Rattus norvegicus: one gene and its partners. The protein of the gene in region 6 purifies or fractionates together with the protein of the main gene of each other region. This does not show direct contact. Links are inferred from orthologs where the notes say so. Each region holds a gene or a part of one and is shown on either strand. Other genes may lie near its edges.

Evidence for each region.
Region 1: the proteins of Cdk19 (region 6) and Med20 purify together in Homo sapiens (affinity purification with mass spectrometry; 5 studies listed by BioGRID and IntAct, counting the BioPlex papers as one, with this or other methods). This does not show direct contact. The link is inferred for Rattus norvegicus from reciprocal best matches to the Homo sapiens genes CDK19 and MED20.
Region 2: the proteins of Cdk19 (region 6) and Med12l purify together in Homo sapiens (affinity purification with mass spectrometry; 3 studies listed by BioGRID and IntAct, counting the BioPlex papers as one, with this or other methods). This does not show direct contact. The link is inferred for Rattus norvegicus from reciprocal best matches to the Homo sapiens genes CDK19 and MED12L.
Region 3: the proteins of Cdk19 (region 6) and Med16 purify together in Homo sapiens (affinity purification with mass spectrometry; 6 studies listed by BioGRID and IntAct, counting the BioPlex papers as one, with this or other methods). This does not show direct contact. The link is inferred for Rattus norvegicus from reciprocal best matches to the Homo sapiens genes CDK19 and MED16.
Region 4: the proteins of Cdk19 (region 6) and Med13l purify together in Homo sapiens (affinity purification with mass spectrometry; 5 studies listed by BioGRID and IntAct, counting the BioPlex papers as one, with this or other methods). This does not show direct contact. The link is inferred for Rattus norvegicus from reciprocal best matches to the Homo sapiens genes CDK19 and MED13L.
Region 5: the proteins of Cdk19 (region 6) and Med7 purify together in Homo sapiens (affinity purification with mass spectrometry; 5 studies listed by BioGRID and IntAct, counting the BioPlex papers as one, with this or other methods). This does not show direct contact. The link is inferred for Rattus norvegicus from reciprocal best matches to the Homo sapiens genes CDK19 and MED7.

What each region holds. Positions count from the first base shown.
Region 1 is NC_086027.1:20,877,212-20,881,190, reverse strand, and holds the start of Med20 (mediator of RNA polymerase II transcription subunit 20), read left to right. Parts: upstream 1-1,179; 5' UTR 1,180-1,292; coding exon 1,293-1,306; intron 1,307-3,979. Other genes in the region: Bysl (bystin), read right to left, coding at 518-782. UniProt on the Homo sapiens protein: Component of the Mediator complex, a coactivator involved in the regulated transcription of nearly all RNA polymerase II-dependent genes.
Region 2 is NC_086020.1:145,672,318-145,675,817, reverse strand, and holds part of Med12l (mediator of RNA polymerase II transcription subunit 12-like protein), read right to left. Parts: intron 3,418-3,500; coding exon 3,282-3,417; intron 2,866-3,281; exon of another isoform or gene 2,624-2,865; intron 2,517-2,623; coding exon 2,355-2,516; intron 666-2,354; coding exon 303-665; intron 1-302. UniProt on the Homo sapiens protein: May be a component of the Mediator complex, a coactivator involved in the regulated transcription of nearly all RNA polymerase II-dependent genes.
Region 3 is NC_086025.1:10,459,273-10,462,295, forward strand, and holds the end of Med16 (mediator of RNA polymerase II transcription subunit 16), read left to right. Parts: coding exon of another isoform or gene 1-49; intron 50-379; coding exon 380-463; intron 464-532; coding exon of another isoform or gene 533-547; coding exon 548-740; coding exon of another isoform or gene 741-745; intron 746-920; coding exon 921-1,137; intron 1,138-1,809; coding exon 1,810-1,893; intron 1,894-2,083; coding exon 2,084-2,210; 3' UTR 2,211-2,523; downstream 2,524-3,023. UniProt on the Homo sapiens protein: Component of the Mediator complex, a coactivator involved in the regulated transcription of nearly all RNA polymerase II-dependent genes.
Region 4 is NC_086030.1:43,487,820-43,491,319, reverse strand, and holds part of Med13l (mediator of RNA polymerase II transcription subunit 13-like), read left to right. Parts: intron 1-423; coding exon 424-1,373; intron 1,374-3,319; coding exon 3,320-3,499; intron 3,500-3,500. UniProt on the Homo sapiens protein: Component of the Mediator complex, a coactivator involved in the regulated transcription of nearly all RNA polymerase II-dependent genes.
Region 5 is NC_086028.1:31,353,844-31,357,836, forward strand, and holds the start of Med7 (mediator of RNA polymerase II transcription subunit 7), read left to right. Parts: upstream 1-1,193; 5' UTR 1,194-1,239; exon of another isoform or gene 1,240-1,787; intron 1,788-3,837; 5' UTR 3,838-3,993. UniProt on the Homo sapiens protein: Component of the Mediator complex, a coactivator involved in the regulated transcription of nearly all RNA polymerase II-dependent genes.
Region 6 is NC_086038.1:45,323,501-45,327,710, forward strand, and holds the start of Cdk19 (cyclin-dependent kinase 19), read left to right. Parts: upstream 1-1,410; 5' UTR 1,411-1,669; coding exon 1,670-1,797; intron 1,798-4,210.

The DNA of each region.
Region 1 (3,979 bases), on a different chromosome or scaffold from region 6:
ATCTGTTTTTGTTTAAACAGAAATATCTTTCCCCCTCTCTTGAGAGATAGGGTTCTATCATGTAATGTAGTCGAGGTTAATCTGGAATTTACTATGTACTCAAGGAGGCCTTCTGCCTTGCTTCTGGAGTGCTGGCATTACAGGTGAGCATCGCCACTCCTGCCTGGAATATATTACTCTAATTATCTATTTAATGTGTGCCTTGAGCTACACTTCCGGTGCCATCAGGAGTGATGAAGATCTTATTTCTGGATCAGAACTGCCTAAAAACTTAACACAGCTCAAAGCACTATGCAGGCAGCCCACAGATACTTCAAACGCACAGAGAATAAATAAATGCTAGAACTGGTGTGAGAGATCACATTCTGTTGGCTTAAGTCTGGATCCCGAAACCCAGGAGTGGAAGTGAAGGACCACGCGGGAAAGTTAAGCCGCCTACTCTTTTTAATTCTAACCCAGTATTCCGATGGAGAGTATCAGACCGGCCCAACTCACCACTCCACCCCTTGTCACTCACCCAGCCGCGTGGCGCGCTCTCGCGGTTTTGCCGGCCGATCTCCAGTCGCGTGTTCAGTCTCGAGCTCCTCCTGCTGCTGCCGGGCTTGTTGCAAAATCCGTCTGCTCAACCGGGGTCCCACATACTCTTCCTCCTCTTCGACCCCGTGTCTCCGCCGTTTTTCTCGGGTCCCCGCACGCACTGCGTCCCCAGCCAGAATCTGCTCCGCCAGAGGTGCATGTCTCTCTTGATTTCTGGCCCCACGTGTCACCTTTAATTTGGGCATTTTTGTCGAAAAACTTGCCCACAAAGTTTACACGTGTGAAGCCGGCTAAGAGACGAGACTGCGCTTGCGCCTTGTATTCCGGTCTCCAAGAGGTCACTGAGGCATCACAGTGCCCCCCAGCGTTCGGAGGCCGGAAGTTCCTCATATATCGCCATCTCTAGAAGAGCTTCGGGGCTTGGAGCAGGAGTCTCCAAATTCTCAGATAATCTCACTGAAAGAGGTGGATGTTCGAGTCACCTTTTCCAGAATTCATGAAAGTAGCCTAGGGCGTGTTGTCAACCCCTTGTATGTTTTGGGGGCGGAGCCGGGTCGATGACGTACTAGAAATGTCACCGCTGGTGTATCCAGAGATGCCTCTCCCTGTGGGCGTGTCGTCCTGGCGCTCAGTATTTACGCATTTCCGGAGGCCGGTCAACGACCGCTTCCTGTGTTTAGGGGGCTGCCTCTCGTGGGAAGGTCTGGATTCTCTGAGTTTGAGTATTTGGCAGTACCACCTTTTGACCCTTCGCCATGGGAGTGACGTGGTAGGACTTGAAGGGCTTCTGCGGGGGGGGGGCTGTGGGGTCGTGAAGGTGTCTGTGAGCCTGTAATGGCCCGGGGAGGGGGATTTTGACCGAGGTTCTCGGTTCCTCGAGGGCTGACCAAGATGTCCTGGGGTTGTGTGGATCAGGGGACACCCGAGTGCGGGTTCTCCCTTCCCAGGCATAACAATTTGGCAAAGCAAGCACTTCATCCCAAGAACCCGCCAAGAGTTGTTGGACCTTCTTTTTCTCGGTACCTCTTTCTGTCCTTGAGGCCTTGTCCCGTCGCAACTAGAATCCAGCGGTTAGAAATAAGGTTTCTAGACTAGGAGATATTCGGAGGAAGGGATAAAAAGGGGCGCGAGGAGAAAGTGACTTGTGTATTCTGCTTGCAGTTATAGCACCTGACTTTGAACTGGCCACTTTAAGATATTGGGGCTAGTGACAAAGGTAGGGGAAAGGAGCTGTTGGGAGTTTGGAGATCGGGGTACCAGGCATATTAACTATTCATGAACCACTCCCTAACGTATTTGAGACAGTTTTTTGAGCAGGGTTTTCTTTGTGAGTAGCTTTGGGAGGCCTGTAGATCAGGCTGGACTCAAACTCACCGAGATCTGCCCACCTCTGCCTCTTGAGTGCTTTGGTGATGGCATTTGCCACCAGCACTTGGGCTTGAGACAGTTTTGATCGACTTTTATCTTAAACATGTCTTAAGTCTCACTTGAAAAAAAAAAAGAGGCAGTCGGTAAGGTTTGGGCACCGTGCTTTTGTGGGTATTAATTTCAAAGTACTAGACCTCAGCACTTAAAATCTTGGTACTGGTGCGCTTCTTTCCGATTAAAGAAGCTTGGGGGCCATTGTACAGGAAGTCAGGGGCCACAGGTCTGCTCTGGAAAGGAGAGCTCTTGTAGGCTCCTTAGTAACTGCGCTTGCCAAAGTTGACACCAGGAGCCTCATCTCTGCCACAGTGAAAATAGATCACAGCAGAGTCATTTGAGATCCCCCAATGCCACCTTTCTGGGCTGTGTATGTAACTTAGACTCCCGTGCCTTTGCCTCCTGCACCAGGGATTACAGGAGTGCTCCACCAATGCCTGCCCACCCTGCGTCTTTGTATAGAGAAGGCAGTCCCTGGGAAAAGGGCTTCTTGCTTTCTAGTATCAGTTCCACTTTCTCAGAATCTTGGAATGTGTGTCACAGTGTGTCAGTTTGGTAATTGGAACAGTTTTTAATGACAGTGGGGCTCTCCCTTAATAGATTTTTCTATTCGATCATAAATCAACACAAGGATCTTAAAACAGTTGTTTAGGAAAAGCTTTGACTTTTTCATGCAGTTAAATACCATCAGTGTTATTATTTAATCACTGTTCAAAGAATAGGTCTCCGCCAAGCGCACTCCTATGATCCCAGCATATGGAGGTTAAGTGGCAGAAGGATTGATGAAAGTGTAAGGTCATAAGGTCAGCTTGGGCTCATGTGGTTCATTTCAGATCAGTATTGGCTTCAGTGTGAGTCCCCTGTCACCAACCAACAAACAAGTAAACAATCAGTCTCTTTTAAATAATTTAGCAGATTGCTACCTTGCCAGAGGTATGGTGGCACAGGCCTTTAGTTCCAGCGCTCAGTAAGCAGAGGCGGCCAGATCTCTGAGTTCAAGGCCAGTGTACAGAGTGAGTTCCAGGACAGCCAGGGTTACTCAGAGAAACCCTGTCCTGAAAACAAGCAACCACTACCAAAAAAAGAGAAAACACACACACACACACACACACACACACACACTCTCACTCACTGGTCACCACATCCCTAGGAGGATGGTTAAAGAGTACAGCTGAACAGCCAGGTTGACCTTGCACAGATTGTTTAGATTTGGAGTTTCCCTGTTTGCAATAAGTTGGTACTGGACAGGACCTTTCCTGGGGCCTTTGGAAGATTCAGTCAGATAATCTGAAGGCTCATGCCTTTGATCCCAGCATTTGAGAGGCAGAGGCAGAGGCAGGCAAATTCCTGTGAATTTCAGGCCATCCTGGTCTACATAGTGAGTTCCAGGAGAGCCGGAGGAGCTGCATAGTGAGACCCTGCCTCAGAAAAATGAACAAATGGGAAGGCCTACAGGTGCTGCCTACAAGTGCTGCCTACAGGTGCTGCCTGCAGGTGCTGCCTGCAGGTGCTGCCTGCAGGTGCTGCCTGCACAGTCTGCACATACCTGGTGCTTGACAGTATTAGTACCACTCCATGTCAAGGCTACAGCGTAAGTTGGAAACCTCAAAAATAATTGAAGTTTTAGCAAAGACCGTTCTTTCTCTTTATCAAGGATGATACACCCAAGGCCTGCTTTCTCTTTGTTCTTAGTGCAGACTCTGTGACAGTGAACATTAGCCACCAGACTCCTGTGACAGGATACCTAACAAAGGCACCTTATGATAGGTTGATTTGACTCACTATTTGAGCCAAAATAGCATCACAACAGAGAAAGCATGGTGACAGGAGCATGAGGGGCTGGTCACATTGTCAGGAAAGGGGGAAGGGGATTGTCCCGCCAGCTATTTTATCCACACCTCAATTCAGTATAGAATCTCACAGACACGATCAGGAGTTTAAGAACTAGGGCTCAGGCACGTGTACTCCTGTAATTCCAGCACTCGAGAGACTGAGACCGGGTTGCTGTAACAGTGAGGTT
Region 2 (3,500 bases), on a different chromosome or scaffold from region 6:
AGAGCTTGTGATTTTCATAAAAATGGACCGAGCTGGAGATTTTCATATTAAATGAGCTAAGCCAGTCTCAAAAGGGAACAAATCCCACATCCCCCCGCCCCCACACCAAAATGTAGAGTGGAAAATGAGAAGCTTTGCATCTGTCACCCATGAGAGTTTGTTAGCACAGACACTCCTCAGGAAACTCTATATCAGAGAGCTGATAGTATTCTTAGTAACGTTTCTAGGTGTATCGTTTGGCCATGGGTAAATCCCATCCTAGGTGCCCGTGACCCAGTCTTTTCCTTACATCCCCCACTCACATCGATGCGTGAGCTCGATTTTGTCTTACGCTTCCTTCCCTTTGTCTTCTTCTCTTCATCTGCTGCAGATTTTCCGTGATCTGACAGCTCGGCTGATTTCCTTTCTGGTTCCTGAGAAACTGGAGATGTGGGTTCTTCCTCTTCCTCCTCAGGAGGTAGGGGCAGTGGCTCGAGGTAGTAGCTTCGGGGCTTGGGCATGGTGTGTGTGTGGTATAGAAGGAAGTGGTGCTGCTCCTCATACTTGATAACCCTCCGGTCTACACGGACAGTGCCGAACCAGGCCCAGGACAGAGGAGCTGGGTTCTTCTGACCCTCAAACAGGTCCCATGGGGACACTTTCTGCTTCGTAGAGACCTGGAGACCCTATGGGAAAAGAACGTTCTGTGACAACACAACCTGGCCTGTCCCCAGCTCGCAGGGCAAACTTGCACGTATGTGGTTGGAATGGGCTTGGGGAACTCAGCAGACAGGAACGCTCATTTAAGATGTAGGGACTGGGGCTCAGAACTTTGGAAGCCCGTTTCTCCAGTCCTCTGTATCCCTTGAGGCATCTAAAGGTAGTCTACAATATTTTAGTATAAAATGACATTTTCATTCAAGTATGCTGTAGAAAATATAATTCTCAAGCACCTTTGTGAAGTTGGTGTTAAAATACTAAATTATAACCATCTTAGGAATCCATTATTTTTAGTATTTACAAGATTTAAAAGTCAATAAATAGTTTGCCTCTGATTGGACTCATATTCACTTCAATCCAACCTACATGGACTTCATTTTAGTCTGTATTTCATGTATATGTACGTGGCCTTCTCTGAATAAAGTATTTTCAGAGAACTTAATTACAGCAGCAGGTATAACACAAATTAAATCTTTCCCTTTCCATTCCAAGTTATCTTTACTGGATCCAGGTAAGATAATCTCGTTTCTCAAAGACAGAATGCTCTTACTTGTAATACTAATTGGTCACATTTCTTGGTAACTTCTCCAGCATACCAATTTAAAGCCATTTCTCCTCAAAAGACAGCCAGGGTACATACCCCCCCTCCCCCTGCATGTGAACTGATCTGCTCTTGTCTGTCTTCCTCTTTGAGAGCGGCTTCTTCTAACACCACAGGTAATGTCATCGCCCCCTGCTGTCTGCTGTATGATGAAATCCTTCTGAGTACAACTCACAGCTAAATGGAACCTGGATGGCTTCTGCTGGAAGCCCAAGTCACCTGACTGTGACTTCTCCTTTTTCCCTCCCAAAGCCACACTGCTGTGGCATTGGGGCTAACACTGAATTCTGGTGGCAAGGCTTTTCATCTCACCAATCGTCATCTTTCTTCCCTTTTCTTAAACTTACACCTGGTCCAACACTTTTCTGAATAACTATCGTAGGAACCCGGTTGTGACTACCTCTCCCTGTGTGACTTAAGGGGTCCCCGCCAGTGCCTCCTAATCCTCTCTGGACCAAGACCTGCACATCCCATAGCATTTGAAAGTGCATCTACCTCCTACTGAGGGCACTAATTCCCTCCACCATCTACCTCTGCTACTGCAGTGCCAATGGCTACTCGGTGCTCTTTGACAGAAAGGCTGGCCATTCTGTTATTTTAAGAACCCTCTAAAGTGTCTTATATAAAGCAAATGCCCATCTATACTGCTGCTTGGAGACTATGTACTGTTGTAACCCAAGTTTTACTTAATACTGATTACTCAGCACTTGAAAATTCTTATCAACCCACATCCTCTTATATACATATTTTGTTTCCTATCCTGACATAAAGTAATAATTGTATTTTATTTTTTATGCTAAGCTGCTACTTAAACTTCTTGGTAGATTCTAGGAATTTCCTTAAGTCCAGATAAGCATTTTAAATGGAGATCTTCAAAGACAATGGCTTTTTTAGGAATGCCAATAGCTACTATGCTCTGATGACAAAAACAAACCCTCGAAAATTAAGAGATTCAATTAATATGTTTTGTGTTTCCTCAAAGAAGGTAGGAAATGTCATTTGGCTTCTATAACTAGATATATTTATATACAAAGAAAAAAACATTTACTCTTGCCTGTTTTTTATCAATGGAGTCAAATCCAGCAATTTTGTTTCCCTTCGTATCAATCAAAGAACCCATGGGCTCACAGGTGATGACATCACAAGTCTGCTTTGGCAAAGGCAGCAACTGTCGAACTTTGTCAATGCTTTCTGACCTCTTGTCTCCTAGTTCTTTCTAGAAGAAAAAGGAAGAAAAAAATATAAAAGCAAGAGAGAAGTGAAGCAAAAATTCTGACTTTACAATAAAGCAAAAGCTAACAAGAAGGAAGTTCCCAGTGACACATTTCCTTTTTTTAAGCTGGTATGTCTTTAGTCCTTAGCGCAGTCTATGGAGCAGCTGCAAATTGGACTGGTGAAATGTTTCATTTCTTCTATTCACATAGAAAATCAGAGTGCACACAAAGGCAGGCTTGTTCTACATGACAAGTCAGAGTGCTGAGATGACAAAACGCCAGTGCTATTTGCTGTCACACAGCAGGAGCTGCCGCACGGACACTTTCCCGTACCCAGGGTCAGACTGCAAGGTAAACATCAGCTATTTTACTGTCAAGTCTTCAGACTGTGTGTTTGCAATGTCTATTTGCCGTTTAGTTCAAGTAACATTAGTGGGTTATCAAATGAGTCAGATTTACAAACTCAATGAAGAGATCCTTTTCTCCACTTGCATGTATAAATCCAAGCATGGGTTTAACGGAAATCTGAGGTTTGGTTAGATATCGGATAATGCGTTTTTAAATTCCTTAAAAATTAAAACATGCTTTATTTGAGTATACTTTTTCAGAGAAAAGTCCTTCAGATATTGTAATTTCGAAGGACTGACAGCCCATGTAAGATAACCACAATCTGTTGAATCAACTATGCATGTAAATTAATGAGCAGGAATTCAGACAATAATCCACAAACAACTTGATTTCAGAATAGAGGCTGATCACAAGCTTACTTTCAGTTTCTTTACTAAATTCATGTATGCACGTTTGTTCTCTTCTGATCCCCCGGGGGAAGCAGTTGATAGGTCAGAAGCCAGCGTCCCATTGATTAAAACACCCAGCATGTCAAGAACCGTTGTGAATAATTCACTGAGAGGAAAGAAAAAACCCATTTTATTCTTAAAAGCAAAACCAGGACATACATAATTATCTAAGCATTTCTACTGAAAGGG
Region 3 (3,023 bases), on a different chromosome or scaffold from region 6:
AGCCCCGCCCCTGTCTCGGCCCCGCCCACTGGGCAGCCTGCCCAACCAGGTGGAGCCTCGGAGCTCAGCCCCGCCCCCGGAGTTTCCCCTCCAGTCTCCCAGTCCTAGCCTATATGTCAGTGAGCTGCTGTCTTTGTTTCTCACTAAGGTAGCACTAGCTACACCCCACAGCTCCTGTCTGTCTATGGGAGCCGTCAAAAAGTGACTCCATCTTCCTGTCTGTCCCCGGGTCATTTGAGGCTTCTAAGCTTCAAAAGCCTCAGGCTGCAGGGTCATAAGTCCAGCCCCTGGCTTCTTTGGTTCTGTAGGAGGTCAGCCAGGGTCAGGCTGGGAGCAGCGCAGACGCTGGACTGGCCTTTTTCTGTGTCTCGGTCTATAGGGTGCTGAGCACAGTTCTGGCCTCCCCGACTCTGCCAGCCATGGCCCTGTGCTGAAGTCACATGTGTCCCCTGACTTCACCAAGGTTCGAGGGCTAGCTGTGACTGACCCATACCATAGTTGGGGGCTGCTCACATCCTGCCCTCACCCCCAGTGTCCCCACCTACAGGGCTCCGCACTGAGGCCGGGCCACAGCTTCCTCCGGGATGGTGCCTCACTGGGTATGCTGCGGGAATTGATGGTTGTCATCCGAATATGGGGCCTACTGAAGCCCAGTTGCCTGCCCGTCTATACAGCCACCTCAGACACCCAGGACAGCATGTCCCTGCTCTTCCGGCTGCTCACCAAGCTGTGGATTTGCTGTAAGGCATTACAGTGCCCCCTGCTAGCATCTTCCCTCAGCCTACCTCCAGAATTTAAGCCCTTGATCCTAGGGTGCACACCCCTCATTCAGTTAGGACGTCTGAGGACAGAGCCCCAGGGATGCTGTAGTGGGTACCACTCGGTCATATCAGTGTAGTGACCCCTGACCCTCCCCACAGGCCGTGACGAAGGCCCAGCCAGTGAGCCCGATGAGGGCTTGGTGGACGAATGCTGCCTGCTGCCCAGCCAGCTGCTGGTCCCCAGCCTGGACTGGCTTCCTGCCAGTGACGGCCTGGTCAGTCGCCTGCAGCCCAAACAGCCCTTGCGCCTGCGCTTCGGCAGGGCACCCACCCTGCCCAGCAGCACCTCCATCCTGCAGCTGGACGGCCTCACCAGGTATGCACTGCCCACTCATCCTTCCTCATCCCCCGCACGCACGTGCTGCCCCGCCTCCCTCACCCCCCCCGCCCCGCACGTGCCGCCCCGCCCCGGAAGGTCTCCACACCACAGCTTCCCTTGAGGCTCTCTCCTACAGAGACTCCTGCAACTTCTAGGGCCTGGTGTCTCCCCTAACCACCTTCTGCTTCATCGGGTCTTTGTACTCTAGCTTCGCTCTGTGTGTAGAGATGGTTTTTGTTAGTTTTTGACAGAGGGTTGCCCTGGCAGCCTGGAACTCGCCCTGTAGCCCAGGCTGGCCTCATACCTGCTGTGTGGGAGGAATCTGACCCACCAGCCTCCACCTCTGACTCACACCTCTGCGTGTAGAATCCATTTTCTTCCCTCCCACTGATGTGCCCAAGCTGTAATGGAGCCCTCACTCGTTCCAGGCCAGCATTTACAGATAAAGGACTGCCACGCCCCTCCCACAGCAAAGCCATTAACCCCTCCTGTGTGTCCACTGTCCCATCAGCCACATTTGGAAGGTTCTGGAAGCACAAGCCCTATCTCACCAGGAAAAAGCCATCAGCTGTTTCTTATGGTTGAGCCCCAAGGGTCACACACCAGAAGCCACCCTCGGCTGCCTGGCTGACCCAGGTCCCACGCCCCTCCCTCCCCTCTCATCCCCAGGGCCCCTGGGCAGCCCAAGATCGACCACCTTCGGAGGCTACACCTGGGTGCCTACCCCACGGAGGAGTGCAAAGCCTGCACCAGGTGAGAGCTGCCAGCCATGGCCAGGGGCCTCCGCTTCCCTCCTGGGCACACAAGACAGCCTGCGATCTGTGGGGTAGGGGCTTGGGGAGGGCCTTGGTTGTGGCCTTGTGTCCTACCTGGCTTGAGCAGGCTAGGGTCTGGGGGCATACCGTCTCCCCCACAGTACAGGCAACAGTCCCTGGTTCCCCAGGTGTGGCTGTGTCACCATGCTGAAGTCACCCAACAAGACAACTGCTGTGAAACAGTGGGAACAGCGGTGGATCAAGAATTGCCTGTGTGGTGGGCTGTGGCGGAGAGTGCCTCTCAGCTGTTCCTGAGCCACAGCCCGCCAGTCTGCGTATGTACAGCCACTCTCTGAACAGATGCAGGGGACTGTCTGTGATGAAACATTGACATCCTCACTGGGGCACTGGCACCGGCAGCAGCCTGGGTCTGCCCCTTCTCGGGGCGTGTGCGTCTCCAGTCCCATGGTTTTATCCAGCCCAGCTTGAAGGAGCTGGGCTGCTCTGTGTTCATCCTTTAAAACACCACAGCCCATATGCCCCTGTCCTGATTGGGGTATCTGCCTCAGTTTCCCTTTGGGACCTATGGGAGGGGAAGACTAGCCCAATAAAGTTCTCTTGTACCCCAGGCTTATGCTGTCACCGTAGTCCCCATCACTGCCCACCTCTTGCTGAGATGCCCACAAATAGGGAAGCTGAGTGACTGCTGGCCTCCATCTCCTGGTGTCTGTGGCCTTTGCTGTTGGTCCCCAGAGGAGGGGTCCTGCCTTCAGGCATGTCCCTGCAGCTTCGGGAGGCCAGGCTAGCGCAGGGCAATGGCCTCCTCCACGGGGGGCGCTGCTGTTTGTGGCTGCTGCTTTCTTCTACCCTTTCAACCCCTACCACTAATAGGGATAAGGGGTAACGTTGTTGTTACACTACTTCCTGTGGAAAAGCATTGAGTGAGTCCCTTGGGGGAGTTTGACCTTTGCCATCGTGAAGTCTAACTTCTTTGCACAGGACTACTCAACAGCCAGCAACTCACTCGCCACCAGCCACCAGCCACCTAGCATTTACGTGCCCTCTGAAAAGTCCCCAGAATCCAGATGTCACACAATCACACAAATGTCCACAGCTGGCAAGACCAGG
Region 4 (3,500 bases), on a different chromosome or scaffold from region 6:
CTGCACTGTCTGGGCTGCACTCTGAGCACCATTAGTCCTCAGCAGCTCCCCAGCAGGCCAGGGTGAGCACTGTGTAGTGTGGATTATGTAGAAAGGAAGTGTGTGTGTGTGTGTGTCTGTGTGTGTGTCTGTGTGTGTGTATGTGTATGTGTGTGTATGTCTGTGTGTGTGTCTGTGTGTGTGTCTGTGTGTGTGTCTGTGTATGTGTGTGTATGTCTCTGTGTGTGTCTGTGTGTGTCTGTGTGTGTGTATGTCTGTCTGTGCTCATGTTCTGCTTCTCCCTTTCCTTTTCTCTCTCCCTCCTTTTCTCTTTTGTTTTTGAAGAGAAAATTGCAGATGCTCAGTGTGGGCTGTGGTGTGGGATGTGCAGGGTGGCTTCTGCCTGTGCACTCCACCCTCACTGCTACCTTGTGTTTGTTGCAGCAATGTGCCTAGTGTTGGGAGCCTCGCAGATGCAGACTATCTGAACACACCCCAGATGAACACCCCTGTGACGCTCAACAGCGCTGCCCCTGCCAGCAACAGTGGAGCCGGGGTCCTTCCATCTCCAGCTACCCCTCGATTCTCTGTGCCCACACCTCGAACCCCCAGGACTCCAAGAACTCCCAGAGGTGGGGGCACTGCTAGTGGCCAAGGGTCTGTGAAATACGATAGCACCGATCAGGGGTCACCGGCTTCCACCCCCTCTACCACAAGGCCCCTTAACTCTGTGGAGCCTGCCACCATGCAGCCAATTCCTGAGGCCCACAGTCTCTATGTCACCCTGATTCTGTCAGATTCCGTGATGAATGTCTTCAAGGACAGGAACTTTGATAGCTGCTGCATTTGCGCCTGCAACATGAACGTCAAGGGGGCAGATGTCGGGTTGTACATCCCCGACTCCTCCAAGGAGGACCAGTACCGTTGCACCTGTGGCTTCAGTGCGATCGTGAACCGGAGACTTGGTTACAACTCGGGGCTGTTCCTCGAAGATGAGCTGGATATTTTTGGGAAGAACTCTGACATTGGCCAAGCTGCAGAGAGACGCCTGATGATGTGCCAGACCTCCTGCCAATCCACCTTGCTTCCTCAGGTGGAGGGCGCCCGGAAAGCCCCAGAGCCCCCCGTAAGCCTCCTCCTCCTCCTCCAGAATCAGCACACACAGCCCTTCGCCTCTCTCAGCTTTCTGGATTACATCTCCTCCAGCAGCCGCCATGCACTTCCCTGTGTGAGCTGGACTTATGACCGGGTGCAGGCAGATAACAATGACTACTGGACAGAGTGCGTCAATGCATTGGAGCAGGGGAGGCAGTACGTGGATAACCCCACAGGCGGGAAAGTGGACGAGGCGCTGGTGAGAAGTGCCACCGTACACTGTTGGCCGCACAGCAATGGTAGGTATCCCAGAGAGCAGGCTTCTTTCAGAAGTTATCTTGCTGCCCACGATAACCAAAGGACTGGAAGTGAGGGCTGGGCTGTGTCCTCTGCCTAGAGGCTGGGCTGTCTTCTCCTGAAGCTTTTGGAGTAACTGCCTCCCAAGACTTTGCCATTCCATTACACCACAAGCAGCGGGTGCATTCTGGCCGCTTGTAGCCATGCTTGTAGCTTGTAGTGTGTAAAAAGGATAGTCCGCAGTCCTATCTCTAGGTATCCAGTCATCCTACGGTATGCAGTTGCCTTGGTGTCTCTTCCTGGAACTGACCACACATGTCCGGAGTATTTTCTCCTGTTGGTTGCTCAGTATGCTACATATCAGTGACCACATGTGACTTTGCTGTGGTTACAGGGGTACATCCTAGGGGCTTGTGCTATTTAAAATTGCCAGTCAGCCCATGTAGACCATAGTAGAGCTCGTGGGCTCGAGCCCAGCCCTGGGGAGGAGAGGAAACCTACCTCCAGTTGACAACCATGTTTGGAATTGGGCTCTACAAATGCTGACCAGGCTGCTCCTTTGCTGCTCTGGGATACACCAAGGGCGGAAGGCACCTGCCTTCCTGGACTTCGTAATCTATTTAGGAGAGTGACTGTTGCATATTAAATAAGCACACAGGAAGCCTGTGGAAGCAAATTGTAAGTGATGGAAACGAGGGAGGACCCCCATGTGTGGAGGTCAGGGCTGCCCCTGAGCAGGCAGCAACAGTTACACTAGGTGACATCAGGTTTGTGAAAGTAAGTGAAGGACAGAAGTCTGCATTCTCACCAGACTATAGGATGAGGAGAGAAAGCACGAAGGACAGATCTGGGGAAACTGAAAACCAAATAGAAACCAGCAGGCTGGGACTAGAGAGGCACACAGTTGCTGGGGCTGGGACTAGAGAGGCACACAGTTGCTAGGAGCCTGTACTTGTGCTATAGGAACAAAGGCTGGGAAATCCCTGAATTTCAGGCTACCTTGGTCTACATAGCAACTTCCAGGCTAGTCTGGACTGTATAATAAGACCTGGCCTCAGGGGGGAAAGTGCCTGTACTCCCAAGTAAAGGACCTGAGTGTAGTCCCCAGCAGCCATATCAAAGTACCCATAAGCCTGTAGCTCTAGCCCCAGGGGATTTGATGACCTCACTGGCCTCTGTGGGCACCTACACTTCTGTGCTGGTACCCGAATGTGATAAAACTGTCTTTATTTAGATTTATGTCTATGCATGTTTTGTCTGCTTGTATGTCTGTGCACCATGTGCATGTCTGGTCCCTGCAGAGATGAGCAGAGGTCAGAGGATTCCCTGGAGCTGTAACTCCAGATGGCTGTGAGCCACCATATCAGTGCTGGTACTTGACCCCGTCCTCGGCAAGGACAAGTGCTTGTGACTGCTGAGCTGTCTCTCCAGCCCCAACTTACGCTAATTTAATAAAAGAAATAGTTATGCAATGAGGAGAAATAAATAATAGCTTGCTTTAGGGTGGGAAGAAGTAGGTACATTTCAGAGCTGTGTAGATAGTATAGGGCCTCTTTATAAAACATCCAGTGTTTCTCAAGGATGGATATTTTACAAGGTTTTCTAGGTCTCTCCCTTTTTGTTCCCTTATCCTCAAAATGGTAATGTATAAATGAAAGGAACATGGTGACTAAGGAAACTTTGTGGCCCTCTGTCTTCTGGAAACTCTTGGAAGCAGGTTTACATGATCCCTTTACTTCTCTCACAGTTTTCTCAGTTGAATGCTTCTGAGTAGTGTGACCTACTTCCCTCTTTATGCCTGTTAGCAAAGTACCGGTTCTTCAATTTGGAAGAGCCTTTCTCTTGACTCCCAGGTCGCCCATCTCTTTTAGTGCAGACCCAGGATGGCATCTAGAAGGGGGCATGCTCCCCTGACATCCTTGTCCTCTGCTCTTTTCTCCTCCCACAGTGCTGGACACGAGCATGCTCTCATCCCAAGATGTGGTGCGCATGCTGCTGTCCCTGCAGCCCTTCCTACAAGATGCCATCCAGAAGAAGCGCACAGGCAGGACCTGGGAGAACATCCAGCACGTGCAGGGGCCACTCACCTGGCAGCAGTTCCATAAGATGGCCGGGCGTGGGACCTACGG
Region 5 (3,993 bases), on a different chromosome or scaffold from region 6:
CCAGGTGGGGTCTGCTGAGACATCCAGCCCCTTAGACTGAGCAGCTACGGGATTCTCAGCCTTTCAGGTTGGAGGCAGCCATTGTTGGACTAGTTGAACTGCATCTTGTAAGCCACTCTAATAAGTTATATGACATATATATCCATGTGTGAACACACACTCATTTGATCAGTGTAACAACCCCTGGTACACTTTCAGTAAGATAGTAATGCTATGGGCATGGGAAAAAGCGAAGAGCCCTTACCTTTGAGAGGCTCATACTGGACTAGAGGCGAACTGATGGGGAGCATATAGCTGTGGAAGTTGGTGATGAGTAGACTGTTCTTTCGCTTTTATGCCTGCAATTCTTCACATATTTAAAGGAAGAAACTGGGACATTCTTGTCTCTGAAGCAGAGCTGTTTTAGCAGAACAGTCTTATCTCACTTTTAATTTGCAACAAGCGTTCTTAAGACTCCCATGAGTTAGGACATCTGTTAACAATTCTTTTATATGTGTGGTGGGGGAAGGCCTAAATGGAAAGTTTTCTTGCTGGTCCTGATGGCTCATTTCTGAACCTCTGGCTTTCCTGAGGCTCGGAAGAGACATTTGAAACCATGTGTAGCCTGGGCTACACAGTGAAATTGCCCACTCCTTCTAATTTTAAAAATTACATTAATTTTTTTTTTTACTTGTCGGTTTGTGGAAGAATTGTCATATACATCTTTGAATTCCTAAATGAAAATAAAAGTGAACGGAAGGGGGAAAATGAAGGTGTAGGATGTTAGTCTTAATCATGTTCCCAAATATCCCCATGTATGTATGAATATATCATGGAGTACAACTTGCTTTAAAAAAATTTTTTTTGATGATAAGGTTAGCATTGATATTTTTAAATATTGCTTATCTGTATTTTCTGACTTATATAAGGCAAATATTTAATTTTAAGAGTCTTATATAAAGGGGGTGGGCGGCGAGGAGTCGAATTACTAGAGAGTACTTTCTTTTACTAACAAGAAGTATGAAGAAACACTCTCCTGACCTGACCAAGAAGATAGACAAGAGATCTTTTCCCGGGAGAAGCGGGAGACGCGGGAGTGCGCATGCGCAGTATCTTTAGGGCGGGAGTAGGACCTGCTATAGGACAGGCTTCGTAGCCAATTAAAGGCCCGCGTCAGAGGCTTCTTCCTGAGAAGGCAACCGGAACTTGTGCTTCCGCTGCGCTGAGGAAAAAGTCGCTACGGGAAAAGCTAGAGCTGAGGTGAGCCGGCGCGGCGTTTGGCGACCGCAGCCAGAGTCTGTCTCTCCGCCCCCGCGGTTGCGTCTTTCCCGGCGCCACGCCGAGGTCCGGCGCGGGACAACCTGGGAAGCCCGGGCTCGCCTTCCTCCCACGTCCCTCAGCGGAGCCTCCCCGGGGCCTGAGGCAGGCGGCTGGCCGAAGGTGCGCGGAGTGCGGCTCGCTCCGGGCGTCTCGCGGACCGGACGACGAGCCGGACCGGAGGTTGGGAGGTCCGAGTTCTCGTCCCCACGCCACGGGCTTTTAAAGTGTCGTGGCCTTAGCCTGCCCTGTCGGCATTAGTAAAATGATAGTAGCCACCTGGGAGCGCGGAGGCTGGGGGAGGGGAGGGAGAGCCTCGGGCGGATCTTATCCTGTACCAGACTTTACGAGGGACAGGGACCAAGTGAGCCAAGTGTCTGAGCTTGCGACCACTCCCCCCCCCCGCCCCCCAAGCAAATGCTAGAAACTGAATTTTGTTAGTGTTAGCAAGTGAGGACATCCAGCGGCTCTGAAAAGTTCAGTTTAAACCGGTGAGGGCGGTTTTTGTAAGGTGGCAGGCTCTAAAACGGGATGCTTGAGTTATCGGGGTTTGCACTTCCGCGCAACAAAACGAAACAGCCAAACAAAACAAAACAAAAACGGAGTACAAATTCCCGTTATACATTTTACCCACTTCTGCACATTGGAAACTGGCTTCTTGTTTCTAAAATCAAATTGGGAATAGTTGTGCCGTTAGGAAGATAGAAGTGAGGATGCCGGTCACTTATTAGAAACCTTTGGGAAATGGGAATTTAGTATGGGTGTGGCTAAGGGAAGCGCAGATCTCATCTTCAAAAGCCCTCAGGGGACGAAATTTAGGCTGGGTGTTGACTTGATGTGACTGCAAATAGACACTAGTATCTTAGGTATATATACCCTGAAATAGTTGAGTTGGACGACCTGAAGAATTTGAAGTGACTTCCCTCAGATTTAATGTATTCCAGGTGTACGGAACCTGTATGTTACTTTCCCCTGTTACCTTGAATCTCAGTGTGAAAAAGCGCTCAAGAATCTTCTCATTGTATAATGTACTTAAACTCAAATTGGAAAAGCAGAGGGTATTTTGACCATATATGTTGCAGTGTTGGGACTTAGGTGTTAAATTTATGTAGAAAAGATGTTAAAATGCCAATTGTCAATAAAACTGTACTATAAGATGTTTGTAAGATGAGGCTTCCCTCAGAAACCTTGGAAAATTCTAGAAGTATGAAATTTAACAAGTGATTTTTGTCAAGACGTATAGAGAATCTTAAGTGTTTGGTTTTGGAAATCACTGTACAGTAGAAAGCAAAGTGAGATTGATAGACACCATATGTAGTTTGATTATGGAAAAGAGAAATAAATAAGGCATATGACTTTGTATATAACTGTTCTTTCCCAGAGTAGGTTTCAACGTATGCCTACCAAAAGGAGTCAGGCATGAAAAAGAAGTATATCATATACCATGTATAAGCCCCCCAATACAGACCCTTTTCTCTTAGTTTTCAGAATATATGTTTGTTCTTTGAGAATTTTATACACACACACAAACATGTGTGTTTTGATCATGCTTGCTTCCTCACTCGTCTAATATCTTGCAGACCACTACCATATCTTACTCCCAATTTTATATATTTTTAAAATATTTTCTTGGTTTTTAAAGATGGATCTTTAGCACAGGCTGGCCCATGTAGTTCAAATGGGCCTTGAACTCACAGCTATCATGCTTCTCAATCATTAGGACTCAACAACCATCATGCTTAGGGCAGTTTAAAAAATTGTTTAAAAATAACAGTAAATAAAGTCCTCTGCAAACCCGCAGTGGACTCTGCTGCTTGTTTTCCCACTTTGAATGCTTTATTTACATTTGTCAGGTTATCTACAATGTGTGAGTCCTTAATGCTAACATCATTTTTTAAACAAGCAGAACAGATCTTACTGAACGATCATATGAGTGCTCTTTAACAGGTGAGAAGGGCTCGAAGAGATTAAAAATAATCGTAGGATTTCCAAGTGAGGCTGTTCCGTGTTCTCAGAATTTCCTTCATAGACAAGGTTTGCACACCTCGACTTGGGTGTGTAGTTAGACACTAGACATGTCTCATGGTTCTCACTTCTGTTATCCTCACTGCAGTGAACATGGCGATTCAGCATTTTAAAGCCTGATTCAGTTAAGCAACAACCTGTAGTCTTGGGTGAATAGAGTTAAGAGCCAGGACACAGCAGGCCGTAGGACCAGAGCAGGTATTGTAAAGAAGACATGGTACCTGGGAGTCCGTGACTAAGTATGTGTAAGTGGTGATTCTACAGTAAAAAGGAGCCTGCCATTGTCCACTGTCAGTTGCAGAAATTGTACAATGGGAATTTATACTTGAATGTTGGAACCATAACTCATGCTATCACAAAGTAGACAGAGGGCAGACCTTTTTGGAAGGCCATCTTTGTGTGCAACTTTCTGCACCTTCCCTGCTCTATCCCATTAGTCTAACAAGGGACTAATCAGATCTTCATAAAGCCATAGCTTTGCCTTATTTTTCTCTTCACTTCTTCCTCCTTTGCCAGGATTACCTGTCTCCCTAGGGTGAAATTAGCACACCTGTTGTCTTTGCTGGCCAACAAGTTCTCAATTTTTATACTTCCCATCAGGAAGCTTGAAGATAATATGGTCTGAACCCACAACGAACTTGTACTGAACATTGTACTTGTGTTGATCAGGCT
Region 6 (4,210 bases):
GTGCCACCATGCCTGGTCTAGTATGCATGGGAGTCCTACACGATGAAGTCGAAAAGCTAGATGATTAAAGCTCAAGACATACAGAAAGGAACAAGAATTGGAAATTTTAGTAGGTAGCAGAGATAAATGAAGAGAGAGGGAAGGAAATGAAGAGGGAATAATAAGTCGATTCTTTTAGATGGCCTCCCGGGCAAGGTTGTCTACGAATAGCTAAGCTGCCTTTCTGACACAGATACCTTATCAAATTTCCCTTATAAATTTAACCTTGTTACAAAAATGCTGCCTTTTATTTTAGGTAGTGGAGGGGAGCTGAAACGTGCGTGTCAGATGGATATCAATTCTTTTCGTTTAAAAGCAATCAGTGTGCAGAGGGACACATTTTTAGCAAGGCACTTTCCAGGCTTTTACAGTCCTACTTTGAGGTGACGGGTTCCGAGCTTCAGACACCATAACGAATGAACATCATGAGTAAGATAAATACCTAAAGCCCCTAGGTGAGCCTTGCCATTACGCACAGACTGTAAAAAACGCTTTACAAGCCAGCAAAAATGATTGTTTCTAAAACGCTGCATTTTTGCAATCTTCCAGGCGCTTTAATTGTTCTCAGACAGATGGTTAAAGCTCGGCTACCGCACCCGCATATGCTAGGATAAAACCCGACTACAGCGCCAAGAAAAAGATGATTGGCTGTGGGCCCTAGAAGTTACACGGTTCTCCTAGCAAGAGCTGAGAAACCGCTGAATGTTCAGGTTTTGAAATAGGGTTTTTGCATCGTAAAGAAACAAGATTAACCTATCAGGAAGAACCGAGCACATCCAATTACCAATCAAGAGCGGGACAAAAGCCAAAGCCGGAGGATACCCAGGCACCAAAGAGGACGCCACTCTTCAGTCTCTGCCAATAAGACGAGGCAAGGGGCGGGGCAACAAGAGGATCAATTGCCCAAGAAAACAAACAATGTGTAGTACAACTGTCTAAACCTCAGTCCTAAGCTCCGGGTGCGACGGAATGAGCTCCTGAGCAAGGCTCTCATGAGCTGCTTGCCGCTCTTCTAGCCCAAGGATTGTCAGAGCCAGGTTGCTTCTTCCCGGCTCAACAAACGCTTCCTTCCCGCCAGCTCCCACAGGCTCGCAAAAAGCCCGCTGCAACTTTGCGCTACAGTTTACAGGAACAGGGAGTCGCGCGCTACCTGAGGGGGTGGGGCGGCGGCAGTGCGCAGGCGTACACGCCTTGTGGAGGCGAGGCCGAAAAGACTCAATGAACTCTGGGAATTGTATTCTTCGCGCTCGAGGGGGTAGCACAACTCACCAGGCCTCTTGAACTACACTTCCCAGGAGCGCTCGCGACGTCGGGGCGGGCCGTTTGGTTCGTTAATGAGTTCGAGAAAGCCGCGGCGCGGCCCACCAGGTTCCAAAACAAGGAAATGAAGGGAGGAGGCGGGACTGTGGGTGCCTGCGGGAGCCGCCGCCGCCGCCGCGGAGGAGGAGGAGGCGGAGGAGGTGGCTGCCGCGGCCGCCGAGGAGTCCCTTGCTGAAGGCAGACCGCGGAGCGGCGGGCGGCGCGCGCGCGCCCGAGCGACGGCTGTTCGAGAAGTGGAGCGGCGGCGGCGGAGGAGGGACTGAGTGGCGGCGGCCCCCGCGTCCCGGTTTCTCTATGGGGGAAGCAGACAATGGATTATGATTTCAAGGCGAAGCTGGCGGCGGAGCGGGAGCGGGTGGAGGATCTGTTTGAGTACGAAGGGTGCAAAGTGGGACGCGGCACCTACGGGCACGTCTACAAGGCGAGGCGGAAAGATGGGTAAGAGCGCGGGCGGGGAGTGGGCTCGTCCGGTCTCCTCCACTGCTGAGACCCGGAGGGCTGGGTGGGTCGGAGCCCACGGGAAGAGGCGGCGTGGGTCGCAGAGCGACGTCCTGGGGCCAACTCGGAGGCACTGGTGCTGCCGCCCCCCGCTGGCCGGTCGCGCCCCTCCAAGTCGCACAGCGTAGCCCCGTCGGGGGCGTCGGTCCCGCCTGGAGTCACTGTTGCGAGCTTAACAGCGGGCGGCGGGACCCGGTGGAGACCGCGCTTGGAGGTGGAGTTTAGGGGTCTGGTCCCGGGGGGACTCTCGAGGGCTTGGCTGAAGAGTTACCGGTTTGGCCCTGTGCTGGTGACGGTCGTGGTGGAACTTCCAATCGGCGCAGCGCCTTCCCGGGGCGGCGGTTTGAAAGCTCGCGGGGGCGCCTCCCGTCTGGTGGCCCTGCGCTTGGGGTCCTGACTGGCCCCTCTGGTCTGACTTCCTCGACGTTGCCAACCCAGCCTACATCCCTGGTGTTTACCTGGGGACTTCCCGATCCTGCTCCCGATTCCCACACTTTAATATTTTGAATTCAGCACTCTGAAGGTGGACCCTGGAGAGAGATTAGCTCTATATTACAAACTTCAAGTGCTCTCTGGTTGGTTACCTTTCCTGCCTCGTGATTATTTTAGGTAAACCCCTCCCCAGCCCTTATAAGATAGGGTCTCTCTCTGTGCACCCTGGTTAGCCTGCAACTCAGAGATCCGCCTGCCTCTGCCTCTCAAGTACTGTGATTAAAAGGCGTATGCCACCACACTCGGCCCATTTCTCTTTTCTTCAGGAAGAAATCTTGAGTATTAATATTCTCCAGTTCTCATCCTCTGTCAAATGGCTGTGAGCTTTGGTTTATCGAGAACCTAGACCACCAAGAACAGAAAACGGAAGTGACAGGCTTGGGCCTGGACCACCGTTTTCCTAGTTGAGGGGATCTATAGGAATCTCTTGGGAAGTCTTTCTGGATTGTTATAGCAGTAAAGGACAAGTTGGATAAAGCATCGAGAATGTACCCCTCGGGCCAGAGGGCAGACCAGTTTGTAAGAACAGGACAGGTGGAACCAAACTTGTGACCTGGCAGTGGTGGGTTTTGTCACCTTGTCCCAATTCCGGAAGGAATTCCTTTCTCTTAGAAAAAGATTCAAGCAACTGTCAGACTATACAAAAGGGAGACTGTGACTGCTGGAGCATTTGAAAAGCAGAGCATCAGCACACCTCATTGAAAGTGCTTCTTGGCTGTGCTTTGATAAAGTTGGTGAGGAGCTCCAGCATCAAAGCAAGCAGTGCGTTTGCTAATTTTATAAGAGGAAAACCAGAACACAATCATATGAAGTGTTTCATACATGTACCTGGAAAACTACAGGTAGTGTGTGGGTTTCAAGGATGATGATTAATTGCTGTTGCAGTAGAACTGTACAGGCCAGGCCACTCAGTTGTCTGAGCTGTTTCTTTTAATTACCACGTGTCCCCAAGTGCACACCGGGCGCTGTAAGGCACTATACTTGACTTACACTTTGGTTTTGGAATATCCACTCTACTGGTTAAGTTGGTGTTCCAGTGGGAATCTACACAGGATGTTCGGGGAAGGCAGATCCGCTGCTCTGATTGGACAGTGTTGTTACACTGTTGGTCTGGATTTTCCCTATCTCCCAGAGACTGTGCTAACTTTGTTTTTACACTTATGTTTTTATTTGCCCTGAAACTTTGAGAGAAATTAACAGTTCTGATTCTGAATTGCATAGAATGGCTGGGTTTACAACAGAAACACTTCTTATTTCTACTTATTTTTCAGTATGTCTCTATAATAAGGATATTGATTCAAATACACTTATTCTTTGAGTGAAATCGGTAAAGTAGAATACATAAGGTCAGTTTTTATATTTTCAAAGTAGAATTAAAAAACAAACAAAACATTTAGAGCTAGGCAAGCACTGGCAGTTGTCTGAGTTCCAGGCCAGACAGGCTACACAGAGAAACCCTGTCTCAACGAAACCAAACCAAAGCAAAAACCAACCAACAAAAACCGCCTAGAATATGAAAATATCTTGTCAGACCGTTGTACCACATGTTCTCACGTAAAACAAGCCATGATAGGCTTTATTTTTGTGGATCAGTGTCTGGTTACGATTCCTGGCTTTACACTAACACTTGCGTCTCTGGTGATTTGGCAGTGGGATTAGTTTTATGTTCATCACTAATCAGCCATTTGACAGAACAAAAGGTTTTAGTGGTAGTTCTCAAAGGTGACACAGATTTGGATGGTAAAGGATTCTATTGTCTGGTCATTCTAAATTACAGTCCCCTCTTTTTACATTTTGGTAAGCTCCGGGAAAATGAGTAGTGCTTGATGCTATTTTAGGGAGCAAGAGAGATGAGGCCTGC